Drosophila melanogaster: one gene and its partners. The protein of the gene in region 3 purifies or fractionates together with the protein of the main gene of each other region. This does not show direct contact. Each region holds a gene or a part of one and is shown on either strand. Other genes may lie near its edges.

What was found.
Region 1: the proteins of CG15717 (region 3) and CG15084 purify together in Drosophila melanogaster (affinity purification with mass spectrometry, with the first as the bait; one large-scale study listed by BioGRID). This does not show direct contact.
Region 2: the proteins of CG15717 (region 3) and Prosalpha6 purify together in Drosophila melanogaster (affinity purification with mass spectrometry, with the first as the bait; one large-scale study listed by BioGRID). This does not show direct contact.
Region 4: the proteins of CG15717 (region 3) and Prosbeta7 purify together in Drosophila melanogaster (affinity purification with mass spectrometry, with the first as the bait; one large-scale study listed by BioGRID). This does not show direct contact.

What each region holds. Positions count from the first base shown.
Region 1 is NT_033778.4:18,849,055-18,852,463, reverse strand, and holds CG15084 (uncharacterized protein), read right to left. Parts: upstream 1,621-3,409; 5' UTR 1,529-1,620; coding exon 578-1,528; 3' UTR 508-577; downstream 1-507. Other genes in the region: CG18190 (uncharacterized protein), read left to right, coding at 1-507; MetRS (Methionyl-tRNA synthetase), read left to right, coding at 1,974-2,076, 2,164-2,285, 2,364-3,199, 3,258-3,362.
Region 2 is NT_033779.5:10,219,486-10,223,074, reverse strand, and holds Prosalpha6 (proteasome alpha6 subunit), read right to left. Parts: upstream 1,725-3,589; 5' UTR 1,633-1,724; coding exon 1,630-1,632; intron 1,562-1,629; coding exon 932-1,561; intron 874-931; coding exon 667-873; 3' UTR 529-666; downstream 1-528. UniProt on the Drosophila melanogaster protein: The proteasome is a multicatalytic proteinase complex which is characterized by its ability to cleave peptides with Arg, Phe, Tyr, Leu, and Glu adjacent to the leaving group at neutral or slightly basic pH.
Region 3 is NC_004354.4:13,127,060-13,135,073, forward strand, and holds CG15717 (uncharacterized protein), read left to right. Parts: upstream 1-1,958; 5' UTR 1,959-2,042; coding exon 2,043-2,129; intron 2,130-2,246; coding exon 2,247-2,918; 3' UTR 2,919-2,977; exon of another isoform or gene 2,978-3,231; intron 3,232-3,933; exon of another isoform or gene 3,934-4,119; 3' UTR 4,120-4,737; coding exon of another isoform or gene 4,738-4,912; intron 4,913-5,872; coding exon of another isoform or gene 5,873-7,377; 3' UTR 7,378-7,506; downstream 7,507-8,014. Other genes in the region: CG32638 (uncharacterized protein), read right to left, coding at 1,192-1,239; MFS10 (major facilitator superfamily transporter 10), read left to right, coding at 4,738-4,912, 5,873-7,377.
Region 4 is NT_033777.3:5,356,469-5,360,001, forward strand, and holds Prosbeta7 (proteasome beta7 subunit), read right to left. Parts: upstream 1,897-3,533; 5' UTR 1,608-1,896; coding exon 1,456-1,607; intron 1,389-1,455; coding exon 887-1,388; intron 816-886; coding exon 663-815; 3' UTR 544-662; downstream 1-543. Other genes in the region: CG1161 (uncharacterized protein), read left to right, coding at 1-112; Cerk (ceramide kinase), read right to left, coding at 2,690-2,819, 2,880-3,082, 3,511-3,533. UniProt on the Drosophila melanogaster protein: Non-catalytic component of the proteasome, a multicatalytic proteinase complex which is characterized by its ability to cleave peptides with Arg, Phe, Tyr, Leu, and Glu adjacent to the leaving group at neutral or slightly basic pH.

The DNA of each region.
Region 1 (3,409 bases), on a different chromosome or scaffold from region 3:
TTCCAGGAAGCCTTCAATCGCTTGAAGCTGGACAAAACGGTACCAATCGATCGACTGATCAAGGGTCGCTTCCAGGACAACTTTGAGTTCCTGCAGTGGTTCAAGAAGTTCTTCGACTCGCAGGCTCCGGGCTTGGAGAACATTAAGTCGCTGGCCAATGCGCCGTTGGCAAAGCCCATAAAGCCGCGCCAATTCGCCAAGGAGCGATCACCAGTCAACGCCAATGATGATGCGCTCAAAGAGCTGATTGATGAAATGAAGAACCTAAGCCTGAAGCGGGAGGACATCATGGAGGCCAGCAATCAGATCTACAACAAACTGCGCCTGGTCGAGGATTTGGTCAACGACATGATCAACAACAACCAGCTAGTTGAGTTGTGCAAACGCATTCAAGCGGTGCTCTACAAAACGATAGATGGTGAAATCAACGAGGAACCCGTCGAGGTTAATGAGGATAATGGTGATGAAGGCGCCGAACACGCGGATCCCAATGACGGATTATATTAGAATTCTTTTTATTTGTACTTATTTTGTTTTATACAATCATTTAATTATTTATAAAGAAAGCATTATAAAATCAGCCGTTGGAATCATTGTCTGAGGAGGAGTAATCCCCCACTAAGCTTATGGGTTTTTCGTTCGTGGCTGAAGATGTAGTTTCTTCCAACTTTTTACGCCGTATGCCAAGATCCTGTACTTGGAGCTGGGTATTCAGAACCTTTTGTCGCTTGAGTCCACCAAATGTGGTGACTGTTGCTCCGGGAAGCGCTGGACGCATAAGCAGCTCCAACCGCTGCTCGGATTCCCGTTCCAGAGCTGACTTCGTCTGCAACTTCATCAGGGCTGCCATTTCGCGATCTTGTGTGGTCTCCGGAAGGAGAGCAATGTCCAAGCTGCTCTTGGCCAACAACTGTCGATCCAGCTCCTGCTGACCATTGATCTCTTTCTTCTGCTGGCGAAACTCGGCGCGTAGGCGACTATTGGCCATATAGCTGTCATCCCAGACGCTCATGTTGCGCTCCACTAGTTTCTGGAGCACGGGCCTGGCATCTGCCCCTGCCTTAGCATCCTTGGCTTGATGCTCCAACTTGTACATGGCATCGTCGAAGAGACGCTTTTGTACCTCCTTGGTTTCCGGTACAACTTGTTCGTTCTGCAAGGGATCCCAGCGGTTCTCCTGCCGTCTAGCCCCCGAAAGTATAACATAGTCCAAATTGCCGGGATCCGTCTGGATCTCAAAGTGGTTGTCGCACAAGTGGCACTTCATCCGGAACTTAAAAACCGGCGTAGTGTAGTACATGCCCACCTTGGTCTTCTCCGCATTGTAGCGCACGCCCATGCCGATGTGGTTCTTGCATCCATCACACCAGATATTGTAGGGCATCTCAAAGCGGATGATGATGATTCCCAGGTGAATCTTGCGGGCCCGTTCCCGCAGGGCGTGGGTTCCCTGGAACTTGTTGAGACCGCCCTTCTTCGGATCATAGTCGGGCGGATAGTACTTGTTCTGTCCCTTGCGTTCACCCATTTTTTAAGTGGATAGGATTACTTAAATATTTAAACTAATTACAAGCTCAATCTTTTGCTGTCAAATGTAAATAAACATTTCTGCTTTTTTTAAATCAGCTGTTTCGGGTCGCTGGTGATGACATTATCGGTGGTGCGGAAAACGCTAAAAATAGCCAGAAAATCATATATGAATTAGTCTTGTTATTATTAGTCATATTACAATTAATATGTAATAAATATGACCTACTATATTACCTGTTACTTTAATGCCAACTGTTTATTTCAAATTATTTGACATATAAAATAAATAAGTAATCGATAACATCACCGACGGCGTGACAGCTTTTCCATCTGTCCCATCACCAAAATAATAGTTTCTCGTGGGCATCGTCAAAACTTTGGTTGGATTTTTAACCCTTTTTGCCACGTAAATTGAATTAGAATTAGCGTCCGATCCAGGCAAAATGATAATCTACACGAATGATGGCAACCCGCTGGGACTGCAGCTGCTAATGCTCGCCAAATTTGCCAAGCAGCCGGTGCAGGTGCAGTTGGTTAACCTAAATGGTGAGTTCTGCCACGGATTCCCTTCGAATTCTGGGGAATGCTCTGAAAATGACTCATTTCTGATGCAATAACTATTGTTAATTGCAGACGCTAAGTACAAGGACTTGCTGGTGCTGCCCACTTTGGAGCTGGACAACGGATTGCGTTTGTTCTCGCCGGCGGCCATTGCCAAGTACCTTTTCGTGGGCAAGGGGCAGCAGCGCGATGAGGTATGGGTTCCGAAAATTACTTATTGGCCCATTGACCCCTGAAGGTTAAACTAATTCCCGTATGTGCTCTCTCCCTAGTGGCTGGAATGGTCTGCCACGTTGCTGGCCCCGGCTTTGGCCCACCACATGGCTGTGGGCCACAAGGCAGATGCAAACGCGCTGCCCGTGCTGAATGCTCTGGTCAAGAAGCTGGATGACAAACTGAAAGCTACCCCCTACCTGGCTGGCGACAAACCCAGTGCCGCCGACATCGCCATTTGGTCGCTCCTTGCTCCCGATGGCACTCTCAAGGGAGCACAGAACGTGGACAACTTGAGGGATTGGTATGGCAGGGTGAAAGCGCTTCCCGAAGTTCAGGAAGTTCTTGCCGAACAGCCACTAAAGGATCTAAGCTTTAATGCTCTGCAGCAGTCAAATCGCTATGGAGGTTTGCATCATGTACCATTAAAACGTCTCAGCCTGGCGGATGCAAGCAAACTTCTTGTGGATACCACGCCAACGGTGGCGGATACTGTTACGAATGAGGAAATAAGCGCGGCGAAGGCTGCCTTTACCTACACAGCTCCAAAGGAAATCAAGGAGGAGCGAACTGTTCTTCCCAAGCCCGGTGAGCGTAACGTGCTCATCACCTCGGCGCTTCCCTATGTCAACAATGTGCCACATTTGGGCAACATCATTGGTTGTGTTCTCTCTGCGGATATCTATGCTCGTTACTCGCGTTCTGCTGGCTACAACACACTCTTGATTTGCGGCACGGATGAGTACGGTACGGCCACCGAGAACAAGGCACTGGCAGAGAACCTTACTCCCCGTGAGATCTGCGACAAGTACTTCGAACTGCACAACGCCATTTACCGCTGGTTCGGCATTGGCTTTGATTACTTTGGACGCACCACAACCCAAGAGCAAACAGAGTAAGTTTTGGCTGCTTAAGCAATGATATCCTTATCAAAAAACGCTTGTTTTTTACAGCATTGTCCAGGAGGCATTTAAGGATGTCCTCAAAGCTGGCTATATCATCACAGAGAGCGTGGAGCAGTTGCTTTGCCAAAAGTGTGATCGTTTTCTGGCTGATCGGTGGGTATTTCTGGTACACTATTTCAAGCTCCAACTTACCCATTATT
Region 2 (3,589 bases), on a different chromosome or scaffold from region 3:
CCTATAAAACAACACCTGTTGCTTAATCTATCATCCAAAACATGGGTTCCTCCTGTAAACAATGGTACATCTTTTCGAAGCAACTTTTTAAACAAATAAAACTGAAGTCTAACATATACTGTTTACGTGCGCTTCAGCAAAGGCACCAACAATTTTATTTTCTCATGAGAAAACCATGTAATTTTATTATTTAAATCAACCATTTGCCATCACTCTCGTTATGTAATTAATTGTAATTTAGGTGTGAGCAAATAAATATACAAGTTGCCGCTGAAGTGGCACATTTTATTTGGCATAAAAACCATCTTAGAGGATAACTTGTCATTCACTAAAAGCAATCAACATTTTTTTATAGTAGAAATGTTTCAATACCGGCATTGATAAATATTTTTAATCCAACAGTGTGACCGAACTGTGAAATCGGAAAAATGCAAATAAGTTGGGAAAACTTATATCGAAAAACCAATATTTAATAAATACTATAAATAAATAATAAATGAAGGTTTAAAATTAAAATCAAAAAATTTTACCCATAACATTGATTTTTTGTATTCATTTATTCAGTTTGTTCCGTTTTAGGATCTATGCAAATGCATGAACAATTTTATTGTATCCTTGAATCTTACATTTTTAATGGTTAAGATGCTTTCATAGCCCTATAAATGCCTATGGACGCTGCTCGGTTGCAACCAGGACTTCTGGGTCGCGTGGTCCGGCTGCTGGTTCCTCTGGGGGGGATGGGCGATCATCGTCATCGTCGTTCCTGGGCGTATCATTGTCATTCTCTTTGGCAATCGCCACATGCTTGGCGCTGTCTTTATTAGAGAGAATTGTGAATGGCTGGTCTTTGCCGACGATGGCCACAGTGATGTCCTGCAAGAAAAACACAATTTACTAACTATTCGCGACGGGAAATGTGCAATGAACTTACATACTGACCGGCATCTTTGCCTTGCTCATCCGTAGGCAGGGTACCGAGTATAGCGCGAATTCCGTGACGGATGATTTCATCTTTGGAACTGTCCAAGAACTTGTTCAAATTCTTCTCCAGATAGGTGCGTGCACTCTGTGAACGCGATCCGATCGAATTGGCCTTGCAATTGAAAAAGGTCGCCGATGGCGTGACCTGATAGATGTGCGGACCCCTCTCATCGTAGCCGGCGACCAAAAGGCCCACTCCATACGGACGGCGATCGTAGCGCTGAGTGGTCGTCTGCATCTTGTTGCCCAGGTTAGTGATCAGACGCGAGACTGGATAGGTTGTATCGTACGAGTGCTTGTAGTTCAGGCACTCGGAGCGCAAGTACCGGCTAAGGACGCGGGCATCAGCCGTGAGGCCAGCAATGGAAATGCCCAGGTGATCGTCGATTGGGATGATCTTGCGCTGGGTATCCGATAGCTCCGATGTCGGCTTACACAGGGCGACAAGTACAGCGTAATCTTTATTTTTCAGGCCCACGGTTGCGGTGCCAAGTTTCACGGCCTCCATTGCGTACTCCACCTGGTGGAGACGTCCCTGCGGACTCCACACAGTAACATCGCTATCGTACTGGTTGCGAAACTGAAAGCAAAGATGTGAGTTTGTAACAAATGCAGTTAGCACACCATTATTCGCAATAAACACTTTACCATGACTTTTGAAATGCAAGCCGCTGAGCTCAATGATGACAAGTAGAAATGCCCGATAGTTAGTTATGGCACGCCGGGAGACACAAACAAACTGTGTATCGGGTATCGATAAGGGATTCGGGCATGCTATCATTTTTGGAACGATGCAATAGAACATTGTAGGATATGCATACAAATTTAAGGGGATAATGATATTAATTATAATCAGTAAACTTGTATGAGCACCTTGTTAATCGTAGTTAAATTAATTCCAGCACCACATTATACCTGACTACACACGTTTAATTGACCAACAATTACAGCATACCATGTGAGTAATACAATTTTAAACTATAACGGCTTATCGGGACTTAACTAACAATTAAGTTATATTTAGTTTAATTTATTAACTGCATACTTAAAAAATTAAATGAATTTCTTGTTCCATTCGCTTGTTCCCAACTTGCATTCGGAATCACTGCATATCGACTACAATCGATTGTTTTGCCATTAAGTCTGATAAGCTGTCAGTGGGAGTGTTTACGTTTTAATTGTATATTTCAGTTAGTTTTCACTCTCTCCTGTTTTGGGACCGAGGGTTTGTAGCTCCGTAATCGGATTGTTTGTCGAGGGTATATGCTCGCCTATATATATACCTCCACTCGAAAGTGTTAGCATCAAAATTGCATTGTTAAGATTAGTAGAAAGAAAGATTTTCGTGCGCACCTTAATCATAAAGCCGTGTAATTTAATTAACTGAAGGAATTAACTAAGGTGACTTCATTGCACACACACATACACACAAACCGCTACATACATATGTACACCTCATAATATCCCTATATACGTATGTGCACGAACAAAGAAAACATTTTTATTGGTTCGGCGCATTACTAATGTTTACAATTAACGATTTCTGTGAAAGTGATAGTATACTTATATTGCGTGCCCTTCAATGCGGCTACTGTTCGCTGTCCGTATTCCCATATCTTCGCTACAAGATTGCTTTATTCCGTGACATCCGCTTAGCTACATATCCAAATAGCGCAAAATAAATATATAAATAAAACATCGTGAATGGACCAGCACAGAATATTTCAATCCGCTGATCATATCCCATTCCCGATGCCATTTACCAAATGCGACTGACCACCAGCCAAATTTGCATGTGGCGAAGGGAAAAAAGGCAATCGAAGCGGTTGTGTCGATTTCCCAAGAAGTTGTACATAGTACGTAGCGAGCGAGCATAATGGAATTTCCCCCTCCATAAAATCAGACAACTAGTTGCATCATCACTTTCTCAGTAGTCGTTTAGTATTGTAGATACATATAACGAAAGCCAGTTAACGACAATGCGTTTTAGCGCGAAATTTAACGTATCAATGTCAAAGACCAAACCCGACTTATGTATGTAGCTCCATGCCCAGCTACCTTGTTAACCTAGCTAGTCGGTATCAAATGGTCTCAGTGTTCGTGGATTCACTCTATATTGACCATTGGGTCACAATTCTTGAACTGCTCTTAATGGATCACGAGTTTTTTGGATATTAAAACGCATTTTGTGTCAATTAGCACACAAATCATAGGTGTACGATTTCGAAAACTATTTCAATTCTTTTTGTCATGCATTTTTTATAGAATATTTTCAGTATACAAGATAGTAAAATCATTCATCTTTTTTTTTAAATACGAATGCAATTGTTTAGATTTATCTTAAATTTATTTTAATACATATTCTAGTTTGATTTTTATGACACAAAGTCATAAAGATTTATAAATATTAATTTATTAAAAGTTTAACCATCGTTTTGTCAAAATTCCGCTATTAATTTTAGCATTCTTAGAAATTTTGAATAATATTTTATTAATTCATATTCATGCCTAACAAAACATGTGGTATTTTTGAAAATTTTACTAACATTTTTCTTTGTAAATACAAAACATTTTGGCAAATAAAAGTTAAACAAATTCGAAACAAACG
Region 3 (8,014 bases):
CAAAATTTGCAAAAAATGGCGAAAAAATAGAATTCTTATATTTGGACACAGTTTAATTGGAAATTTAATTACGAGCTCATTGAGGTATGACATTTCATATTCAGGCAATTAATTTGAAAGTTGTGGCAAAAAAACGGATTTTTTGATCACATAAATTCGGAAAAACAGCTTTTGCCAAAAACGTAATATTTACAAATGGAATTTTTGTCATAAATACGCTAAAAATTGTTATATAGATGAAAAAATAACTGTTTTGAGCAGCAAATTACCAAGGCTAACGTTCCCTATCATTTTCATCGAAGAATTAAGGAAATTTTTGAATACAGTTCGATTTGGTATTTAATAACGAACACAACGAGGCATCTCATTTTATATTTGGACCATTATTTATAATGTTATGGTAAAAAAAACGGATTGTATTATGATAGAAATAACAATATTTATTCTTGGACAGAAAACTGCACAATTGGAAAATGTTTTTAGTGAAACGATGTAATTAGTTTATAAGGTTTTCCCGTAAGCTGTAAATTTCGCTCAAGCAGTTTTATTTCGCCCACACAAGTTGCATTAGTCCAGCTGTACATACAATGTCATTTATGTGTATTTTTTACTTATACATATAACGATGGCATTAATTTACTTATTTTCGTTCTACAACAAGTAATTTATATTTGCCGATATATGTATGTATATGTAGCTATATCCACTTTGAATGCAAAATAAGCATCCAAACACATGTAAGTAAATTTCCAAAAAAAGTTTTTATCTACTTTTCATGGCTTTTATTCCTTAAAAAACAAACACGTATGTTTCATACGCCCAGTTTAATTTTTTGACCGCTTCCGTAAAATTCTTTATCTGTTTCTTCTGTTTATGTGTGCCACCCAGCCAGTTGAACCGCCCTGCTGTTAATATTTTGACCGCAGCTGTACCATATGTTATCTATTTACCCTGTTTATTCTTTCCCCTAATTTAAATGAGACTTTTTCATTTATTCAGAATTTTTATCTGTTTCTTTGTTTTTTTTTTTTTGTCATGAGTTATGAGTTTTCCTAGTCGCCCATTGCTATTTTTATGGCTGCAATTGTTTGTTGGATAAGATGAGGGGGGTGAGTGCAGTGCACTGCTTGCTGGCCAGTGCAGTGCAATAGCGGCATCTCGTCTCCCGCATCGCATGCACTGCTTGCTTACCTTCACACGCACAAAAGGGGATCCCATCAGCTCGTTGAGGTCGGTCATGATGATGTCGCTCTCCTGCTCCTTCTCGCTCGCACTCAAATGCAGTTATTGCAGCGGCTACCGCTCTCTCACTCCCACTCCTGCTGCTGCCACACGCGGCGCAGACAACAACAACAATAAAACACAAAAAAAAATGAGTCGCACAGCTGTTTTGTTATTTTCGTGTGCAACAATTTGCTGAAATCGTTCCACTTTGCGTCTATTTTCACTTGCAATTCACTTTCAATTGGTGCTAAAAGCGCAATAGCTTCACTGTATGAGTGTATCTGTGTGCGTCTGTGCGTGTGTGTGTGTGTGCGCGCACTTGTTGGTCTTCTTTCGTTCTCCAAATGTTCTTGTTGTTGCTGCTGCAATATTTGGCAATCGCTGTTGTTGTTGCTGCCTTTGCACGGGGGCGTCAACAATGAACGGCGAATAACGAGTGATGTCAACAACTATTAGCTAGCCGGGGGCAAAAGTGTTATTTTCTTTTATACGCTGGAAGGCGTCAGCGCAGCAACACGACCAATTGCAATTTAAATTAAAATTGTGATGTGTGGGCCAATGTGACCGGTCGCTGTTCCGCTTATACATGCCAGTTATTATTTCGGTGTGACCGTAGCTATAAAATGCGACAGGCCGTGTTAAATACTGAATAATACCAATAACTGGTATTTTAGTTTATCAGCGATCTTCCTTCTCTGCATGTGAATGTGTGTGTGCGTGTGTGTCTGTTTATGTGCGTGTGTGTATGTTTGCGTGAGCCGCTGATAACGCAGCTGATCGGGCGATTCCATTGAATTCAAGTTTTCAATTCGCAGAGCATGGCCAGCAACTTCACCCAGTCCCAGCCGTCCAGGATCACCAGCTACATGGTCAACCAGCTGCAGCCGACGGCGCAGGAAACGAAGGTCAGTCAGACAATATCGGACATAACCTTGATCTCCTTGGCACACGGATTGTGTCTCAGTGAGATTATCGGAGCACCTACATACATATGTTAAATTCAAAAATGTATCTACTTGCAGTTGGCGCTGATTCCCAGTGCACCCCAGTGGCGCTCCCCCCAGCTGATGGTCGTCTTCGAGGACGGTGATCTGCACTCAGCGCGCCACCAGTTGCTCCAGTCCCTGCAGAATCCCTTTGCCGAGGGATCGGTGGCCACGTTGCTACTCCAGGAGAGCATTGCCGATCAGTTTGTGGGCCTAGTGGCGCAGGATTTGCGTCCGTTGTCGCAGGAGGTGTCCAAGCATCCGAGCTACACCAGCACGCTGGCCAAGATCGAAGAGCTGAAGGCCAAGACAGTACAAGGCGAAAGCCTTAAGGCTGGGGAATCACCCGTCTTGGTGTACGACTGCGTGCACAGCTATCTGGGCAATGGAGCGACGGGAGTGGTGACGGTGCACACATTCCGCACAGCCAAGGAGGCCGGCCAGTTGGCCAAAAGGGATCCCCTACCTTACGGCCAAGTTAGTCTGTGGAATGAGAAGCTGGGCTGCGCCTACGAACTGATACCACGACTACCGAGCGATATTGTGGCCATTAATTGCTTCAATCCGGACTTGGATCCCATCTGGGAATCCTTTGCTGCCGACCGCAACGATGTTCTGCTGGCCAAGAACTATCACTATGAATCGCTGGTGGTGAGCGGCAAACGGAGGATCGTCGTCTTTCCCGTGGGCACCATCTTCGGCAACTGAAGAGTGACAGTTCTGGACTTCGACGGCGACGAATCACATCCGGAAGGAATTACATCCAGGTGCTTTTTAAGCCATACTTTAAAATACCTCTCTAAGCATTTTACATGTAGCTTGGGGCATCCTTTTCGACAGTTCAATTGGAATTATATCGAACTAAATTAGGAGTTATGTCAAACAACTAGCATTTAATGTGGCTTAACTTAGAAATTATCTGATTTTGCAACCATCATAATATTCCAATTGTATTGCGAAAAGGTCCTTGAGTCTGAATTGTTTTTTTGATACTCTGTCAATAATTGTCCACTGAAAAATCATCAGCCAACTTTTATGCATCTGTGGGAATTTGGGGTAGGTCCACGAATCTCTGCATGCAACAGGCATTTTTTCAGGACATGCGCAAGTGCTGCTCCAGAAATAGAAATCCTGCAAAGCAGTTTAAATGGAAGCAGTTGAAGGGCACACTCATACACTTGGGGCCAAAATAATAGCGCTCATTTTAGTAAACTTAACATACTATGAAGTAAATGAACCATTTAACTGATAAACTGGTAATGATTTCAATGAAAATTTTTAAAAGAACATTTTGTTTTGTGCGAGCTACGCAGCGATCGATCAACTTAACCCTTTATCTTATCTATTTCATTGTAAACGGACAACAAATATGGAAAAATTTCCAGATGTAGAAATGTACATACTATGTGTGGAATTTAGGTTTTTGCTCATTTCTTTTGTTCTCTAACTAGAGCCTGCTTGAATTGACTTACATACATTAAAAGAGCTTGGCTACTTAAACGTAGCTATTGTGTTAGCCTGAGTTGTTTGAGTGTGCGTGTATTTGTGTTGGCAACTAAAGTATACTTTGCCTTTCTCTCCTCGTTGTTTTTATTCTCAAGATTTTAGTACAAATTCCCTTTTTGATTTCGACTATCTGGAAATTAGTTTTGTTTTATTGTTTTTATTTTCTTACAAATAGTAATTTTTCAGTGCTGGCAAATATACCATATCGCCGTTTATAGTTTGTGTGTGTGTGTAAACTAACTGTAACTAAACAAAGATAGTATACTTAAGTTAGTTCACAACAATACAATTCACACTGCACTCTCTTCTCTTCTCGCACATCACCCCCTTTCTCTTTGGCCCTCTCTAATGCTCTCTCTCTCACCCACTCTCTTTCGTTCTTGCATCCCCTTCTGTGACGTAGCGCCGCACCATTCATGCTCCACTTTCACACGGGAGAGAGCGAGAACGCCACAGAGCCAGCCATTAGAGAGGGAGCGAGCTGTGGTGACTCCAAACGCAGTGGCGCAGCAAAAGGGGCAACTAAACAATGACTGAAATTCCCAAAGAACTACGCCATCATTCTATCGCCAGAAAGTATTTACTCTTCTCACTCGAGGAATCCCCTCTGTGATTTTGGCTCGCCACCCCACAACTACGCCACTGTTACCCCTCTTGTGGTTAGAAGCTACGTTTGCTGGCGCTGCCTTTTGCTTAGGTTTGTTGTTGCGCTGTCCGTTGCCCGTTGCCATTTGCCAGTCCGTCAGTCTGCGCTGGTTCCCGCTGGCGTGGTGAGGTGTCCGCTCGCGTTGCCGCTCCCGTTCCCGCTCCCGCTCACACGGCTCTTGATTTTGGTGGACAAGCAAACCGCTTCCGCCACCGCTGGCGATACAAATACAATAACTACACTACAGCTGCCGCTCCGGCAGAGAAAATGCGTTGGCAGTTGCAGTTCCAAACGCTCAAAAGACGCTCGAAAAGCACAGACCGCCAAGCACCAACATCTCCAATCGGAATCCACGAAACCAAATAGAGCGCCACGATGCCACCGCACAAATGGACGGACGAGTCGCGGGACGCCTCCTGTTACTACGATCCATCCACCTCCTCCAATTCATCCGCCTCGGCGGAGCGCTCCGACGACGAAGCGGACGACGAACGGGAGGCGTTTTGCTCCGGCGAACGACCGCTAATCCGCTCCAGCGGCGCTGCGGAGGGTGAGTAGCTACAAGATACACAGATGGGGAAAGATATTTACCTAGCTATAGCATATGTAGGTGGAGCAACGTAGATATGCGTATTACAAGCTCAAGATACCTTTATTTATTTAAATCTTTAGTGCTATTTCTGCTTCATATTGATTTGCATTTATGTATTGTACATACATATGTCCTGGGTCAGTACTTTTATTAAACATAAACTCTCGGAATATCTGTGTAAAAAAAAACAGTACTCAACGCAAAGATACTTTTTGTTGTAAACAAATTTCATTTTACGTATATCCAAGACACTCTAAAATTGTATCTTTCAATTTATAATAATTCTCATTTAATCTTAAAGTAAGATATTATATGGCTTATAGATTTCAATAACTAATAAAAATAATTAAAATGTTTTTATACATATAACATAACATACATATAATATAAAATAACCTAATAATTACGCATAAATTTTAATTTTCACGTAATACTATCCAGTTATCCAGTTAACAGCCTATGCCTATGTATAATTTATTCGCCAAGGGCCGAAATTACGACTTGTTTACATTTACTGATATGAAGCGAAGTTTTTCTGAACTTTATAGAACAGTACAAATCTGCATTTCAAATGGAACGGAGGGCCGATAACTTTTTCGATGGTATCAGATCGTAATATTTTTATTTTAGATTTTATACTTGAGCGATTCCTATGAACAAGTATCTGAAAAGAAATTAAATTCACTGGCAATGGCATCTCATGTAAACATTTCTAAAGGAATAAAAAAGTGAAGAAATTGAGGCAATTTAAACTATGCAATGATAACACATTGAATGGTATTTAGGGATTTTCAGTGTAACATTGGGCCTTATCGAGAACGGCGAGAACTTTTAAGTAAAACCGGAACTGATATCGTTATTACGCCTCCTAAACCATAGCTTACTAACCATCCACTCTCTCCTCTCTCCACCCTGCAGAAAACCATGGCTGTGGCCCAAAGACGCGTCACATTTTCGGATTCATGGGCTTCCTGGGATTCGCCGTGGTCTACGCGATGCGGGTCAATCTGTCGGTGGCCATTGTGGCCATGGTGAACCAAACGGCAATTCCGCACAGCAACTCATCGGTGATTGATACGGACACGTGTCCACTACCGGCACCACATCACAATGGTAGCGATCCCAATCCGCAGAAGGAGGGCGAGTTTGTGTGGGACGAGGCCACGCAGGGATTGGTGCTCGGCAGTTTCTTCTATGGCTATGTGCTAACCCAAGTGCCCGGCGGACGGATGGCCGAGCTGTATGGTGGGAAGAAGATCTACGGCTATGGAGTGTTGATCACGGCGGTCTTTACGCTTATAACTCCATTGGCTGCCCACTGGGATCTGCCGCTGTTGGTCCTGGTCCGCATCCTGGAGGGAATGGGCGAGGGCGTCACCTATCCAGCTATGCACGCCATGCTTGCCCACTGGATACCGCCGCTGGAGAGGAACAAGTTCGCCGCAATCGTCTATGCGGGCTCCAATATCGGAACAGTCATTTCCATGCCGCTGGCCGGATGGCTGTGCTCGCTGGACTTCCTGGGTGGCTGGCCGTCGGCTTTCTACATCTTCGGACTGTTGGGCATTCTGTGGTTCATCGCATGGATGTATTTGGTGTACGACAAGCCTAGCGATCATCCCAGGATCTCAGAATCGGAGCGAGAGTATATCGAAAGGAGTCTACAGGTTCAGAGGCTAATAAATCAGGATCTAGCGGAGGCCGAGGAAGAGGAGGGACAGGATGAAGTGAGTCTGCGGGCGCCGCCGGAGGAACCGATACCCTGGTCATCGCTGCTCACATCCGTACCTCTGTGGGCCATCTTGTTGACGCAATGCGGCCAGGGATGGGCCTTCTACACGCAGCTAACCGAGCTGCCCACCTACATGAGCAACATCCTACACTTTGACATCCAGTCGAATGCTCTGCTCAATGCGGTGCCGTATCTAACCTCCTGGTTCGTGGGCATTGCCTGCTCCGCCCTGGCGGATTGGATGCTAGCCAGACGCTACATATCGCTGCTGAACTCGTATAAGTTGTGGAACACGGTGGCCTCCGTGGTGCCATCACTGGGCCTGATTGGCATCATCTATGTGGGCTGCGATTGGGTGTGGGTCACCTTTATGTTGGCCGGCGTGGGCTCTTTCGGCGGCGCCGTCTATGCTGGCAACCAGATGAATCACATAGCGCTCAGTCCACGATATGCAGGCACCATGTATGGCATCACCAATTCGGCGGCAAATATCTGTGGCTTCCTGGCTCCGTATGTCATCGGTCTAATCATCAATCATCGCGAGACTCTGACACAGTGGCATCTGGTCTTCTGGCTGGCGGCGGGCTTGAATATAGCCGGTAACTTCATCTACCTGATCTTCGCCAGCGCCGAGGAGCAAAGCTGGTCGAAGACACCACCCACACGCAACTCACGATCCCAGCGCGCTTGAAGCAAGCCTAACTATACGCTATTTTAGCTAGATCATAAGCATTTGTGATAATTCCGATATATACACATATATCCTACATATGTATTTGGGCTCGAAGTTTTCCGGATGCAGGACAAGAATGTGGCTTCCAAAAAGAAAAAAAAAAAACGAAACGAACGAAACTAGTGCTACCAAATCGGAATGGAAAATCGAAAGGATGTTAACTGTTTTAGTGTATTATATACGTGTATCGTCCTTTTATATGGACTTTTGTTTTGCTAGGCGTCTTTTTTTTGTAAACAATTATACCAATACCAACTATATATATATATACATATATATTTATATATCTATCATATACACGCTCGAAGGCACGTAGATCTGTCGAAATAAACAGCACAAACATATCGAACTGTGGCACCTGATTTAAGCATTTTATTCTTTAACTGGCAGGTGGTTTTCGTGTATCCGACTAAGTAATACCTCTTCATTGGAGAATTATGATTTGATGGGTTATTTATTTTATGCAGCTACTAGAGTCTTGGATTTTTAAAACACTTTTAGGCTTTTCATGTTTTTGAAGGCTGTAAAAATGTTGCATAATTTCAGGGGCGAAGTGTTCATGTCAAATTATGCCTAAAACATAAATGGGGTGTAT
Region 4 (3,533 bases), on a different chromosome or scaffold from region 3:
CAGTGCCAGAGCCAATGTCCTCAATCGTGTGGGCCACCAGCAGGACAAGTGGAAGCGGCAGGTGCGCGAGCAGAGACGCCACATCTACGACAGGCATACCATGCTAAACTAACAAGGGGTTCGGTTTGCAGCTGGCGGAGATTAGGAGGCGCATGGGCGACTTAAGACACGTATTCCAAGCAGTTATCCTTTGCGAAATTCCCCTTTGGATCAAATTGATTATCTGTATATTTAGCCAGATTTTATGTTAATTAAAATAAACCAAAATATGTTTGTCAGGAGTGTTTGCATATTAATTAATAAGTTGAATGCCGGGAGGAATAACCAACAAATCCACTAAAATAAAACTTTTAATGATAATTGATGGTTATAATTTGGGAAAATAAGGAACGTAAGACCGTAATGGTGAGTCCAAGTTAGATTTGGAAACTCCCTTGGGCTTCTTAGTTTGACGCCTACTTTTTGATTCCATCAGTAGAGATTAACGAAAGAATAACTCGAAGATAGTTTCTATCACACAATAACCATAACTTTAAACGTATTATTTTCAGCCACATTTATTTTTAATAAATCATGTAACCACATATCCTTAGACAAGTGTTTTTTTTTAATGCAAAACCGCCGAGCTAGACCTAAACTAAGTTCATTCAGAATCGGAGGCTCTAGTATCCCTTTATGGTTTCGGCGAATGTCCAGTTTTCGTTAACTTGGAAGGGCCCCTCCACGCCGCATCCGTTGACGCTGCACACGCCCACAGTGTATTGGGAAATATTACGAGTATCGCGGTAGTAAAGCACCTCCATGCATGTGCGGATCTAGAATATAAGAAAATGGTAGGGTAGTTAAATAATGAAGAGTCCCCCCATCAGAGTTCGAAATTCCTTACCAGTTCGGAAGCTTCTACGGCGGTAAAGTCCCTGTCCTTGGGCTTCTTCTCACGGACCAGCGGAACGGCCAAATGGCGGGCAAAACCAGTGGCCACCACGTAGTCCTCGTAGGATCGTCCACGGAGATCCACGTTGGCCAGGTACGGAGTCCCCTCGTTGTCCACGCCGCCGACAACCACGTCAATGTAGAGGGGGTTCATCCGCGAACGACGGTTGTAGAGCACACGGGTCATCCAACTGGCCAAGGACTTGGGCTTCATCTCGATGTTGTCGTCGCAGCACTGGTCCTCGATCATCTTCTGGTCGATGTTGCGCTTGATGGACTGGATGTCAGCGAAGTCGCCGCTCCCGCCGAGCAGGATGTTCTTGTTGACCTTAAAGACGCGCTCAATGTTTTGGTAGCGGGCCATGGATCCGTAAGACACCAGGGTGTCGGCGGCCAGCATCACTCCTGAATCATAGCGAATGCCAAGCACGGAAGTGCCCGTGGTGCTGGAAGCACTGCGGAATAGTAAAAGGAGTGTAAACAAGTGGTACATCTGCATATAAACATATCCGCAGTTCCTACGTGCTGTGCTTGGTTCCATAGGGTCCCATTGTGGTCAGCTCCCGCGGTAGCTGCTGGACCGGCGTCTGTCCGCCCGTGAAGTTGTAGAACTCGCCGGGAGCGGGTCCGTTCTGCCACATGGGCTGCGCTAGGCTGTTGTAGTTGTTCAACATGCTAATTTATTCGGAGACTGGAATAACGCGAGACTTTGAAATGTTTGTCGCTGCCGGAGAATGACGGGCACAAATAAAATCAAGAGTCAGCGCAGTGTGAACAGACTTTAGGCGGGCGGCAATACCAGTATCGGCAACCGGTAGCTAAAAATACCAGACATACCAAAGATGAATCCACTATTAGCTTGGTCACACCGTTTTACATGTGTTAAATTAAATTAATTTGAAGTTTAATTGTGAACTTTTTAACATTTTATTAGATGTTGATGTTAAAAGTAATGTAAAACAGTTAACACCACGCTGCCTATACTGAATTTGTTTTTTTACTTTTGTCTTTATAATCCTCGTTGATAATACAAATCAAGGAGAAGAAAGATAAGAAATTAAAGAACTTTTCACTCAATTAGGATTAAGACTCATGTATACCCGTTGCTTCTACGGTATTTACTACTCCTTGAAACTAAATATATGTTTAGTTAATATATAATGACCATTTGCTTTACTTCATTTTAAGCCGTTCAATGGTCATTAAAGTATAAGAATCGAGAGCAATAAATGTAAATGACGTTTGGAAATTATCCTGGTCAATCTACAAATCCAATATCTCCCTTCTCTCCCTTCGAACACGATTCTCCATAGCTTTTTAAGCGGAATAAGGTTCTTTTGCTAAAACTTCTGCTTTTATTCATATTGGTGGGAAAAACGCACATGTTCCGGATTGTTGTTTTTGGGAACCCAACGAAGTTTTTTATCATAACATTTGATCATATAAATTAATAATAAAGAATTATAAATTTGAAGACATATAAATACATTTTTATTGCCAGTATACCAGTACACAATTTGTAAATATATAGGTATGTGCATAATGCTTCCGAGGGGAATGTTTAGGTTGCTGCCGCATCTTTCAGATGCCATAATACAGTCGATAATATCAGTTGCTTTATTGAGCTATGCTAAAAACAATGACGGGGAGACCCGCTCTTTAACACGATACATATACGAATAAGGATACCCTACGCAAAACTAAGAGCTACATGTCACGGCCAACGATTGATGCTAATTCTATGGGGTTAAAGCTTCTAGTCCTTGCAGCAGCAGTAAACATTGTCGCTAGAGCTAGCTGGGGTTGTGGGCGTGGTGCCGCCCTTGAGGGGCTTGCTGTAGGAATGGGGACCCCGCATGAAGACCTCGATGAGCTGACAATGCGATCTGCCAGATACGGAACGGTTAATAAGCGATTTATTGAAGTTAAAGGTACAACCAACTCACCGCATGGTTATGTCCAGGTCGGTCACCACCTCTCCATCACAGTTCCAGCTGGAAAACTCCGTCGAGGAGGAGTGGGCGGTCATTTCTTCAGGCGGTGTAATCGGCTGACAAGACCCTGCCAAGCTGTAGTCCTCCTCGCTGGCAGAAAAAGTTCTGAACCGGAATTCCCTTGTGCGATATACCTCTACAAAAGGCAAATTGCGCTGCAATGGGAAAATGTTTTTAAATATTTATTGTTTTCTACAAAATTTAATTGTATCCTTTTATTTTTCATTTATATTTTTACAGTAAAAGATACCATCGCATTCACTAGATAAAACATTATATTGTTGAAACTGGTCAAGTATATACTTTATATGGATGCCACCAGAGCGGCTAGTAGATCTTCGTAAAATAACCTTTCTGTCACAGATTTCCCTCGCTTCAATCCGAGCTAGATGGGGTTCGGTTTTGGGTTTTTGGCTTTTAGGATAGAAAGCACTAAGCTCAGCTTGTAGGCTTAGGGGATTTGGCAATTAAAGATGCAGTTAAAATGTTATGGAAATGTTATTTCAAAGGAAATGGACGCCTCTTATAGGAAAGGTGTTCTTTTGGATGTGAAAGTTGAATAGTTGTAATAGTTAGTACTCACAATATCACCACTTCTGCCCGCCG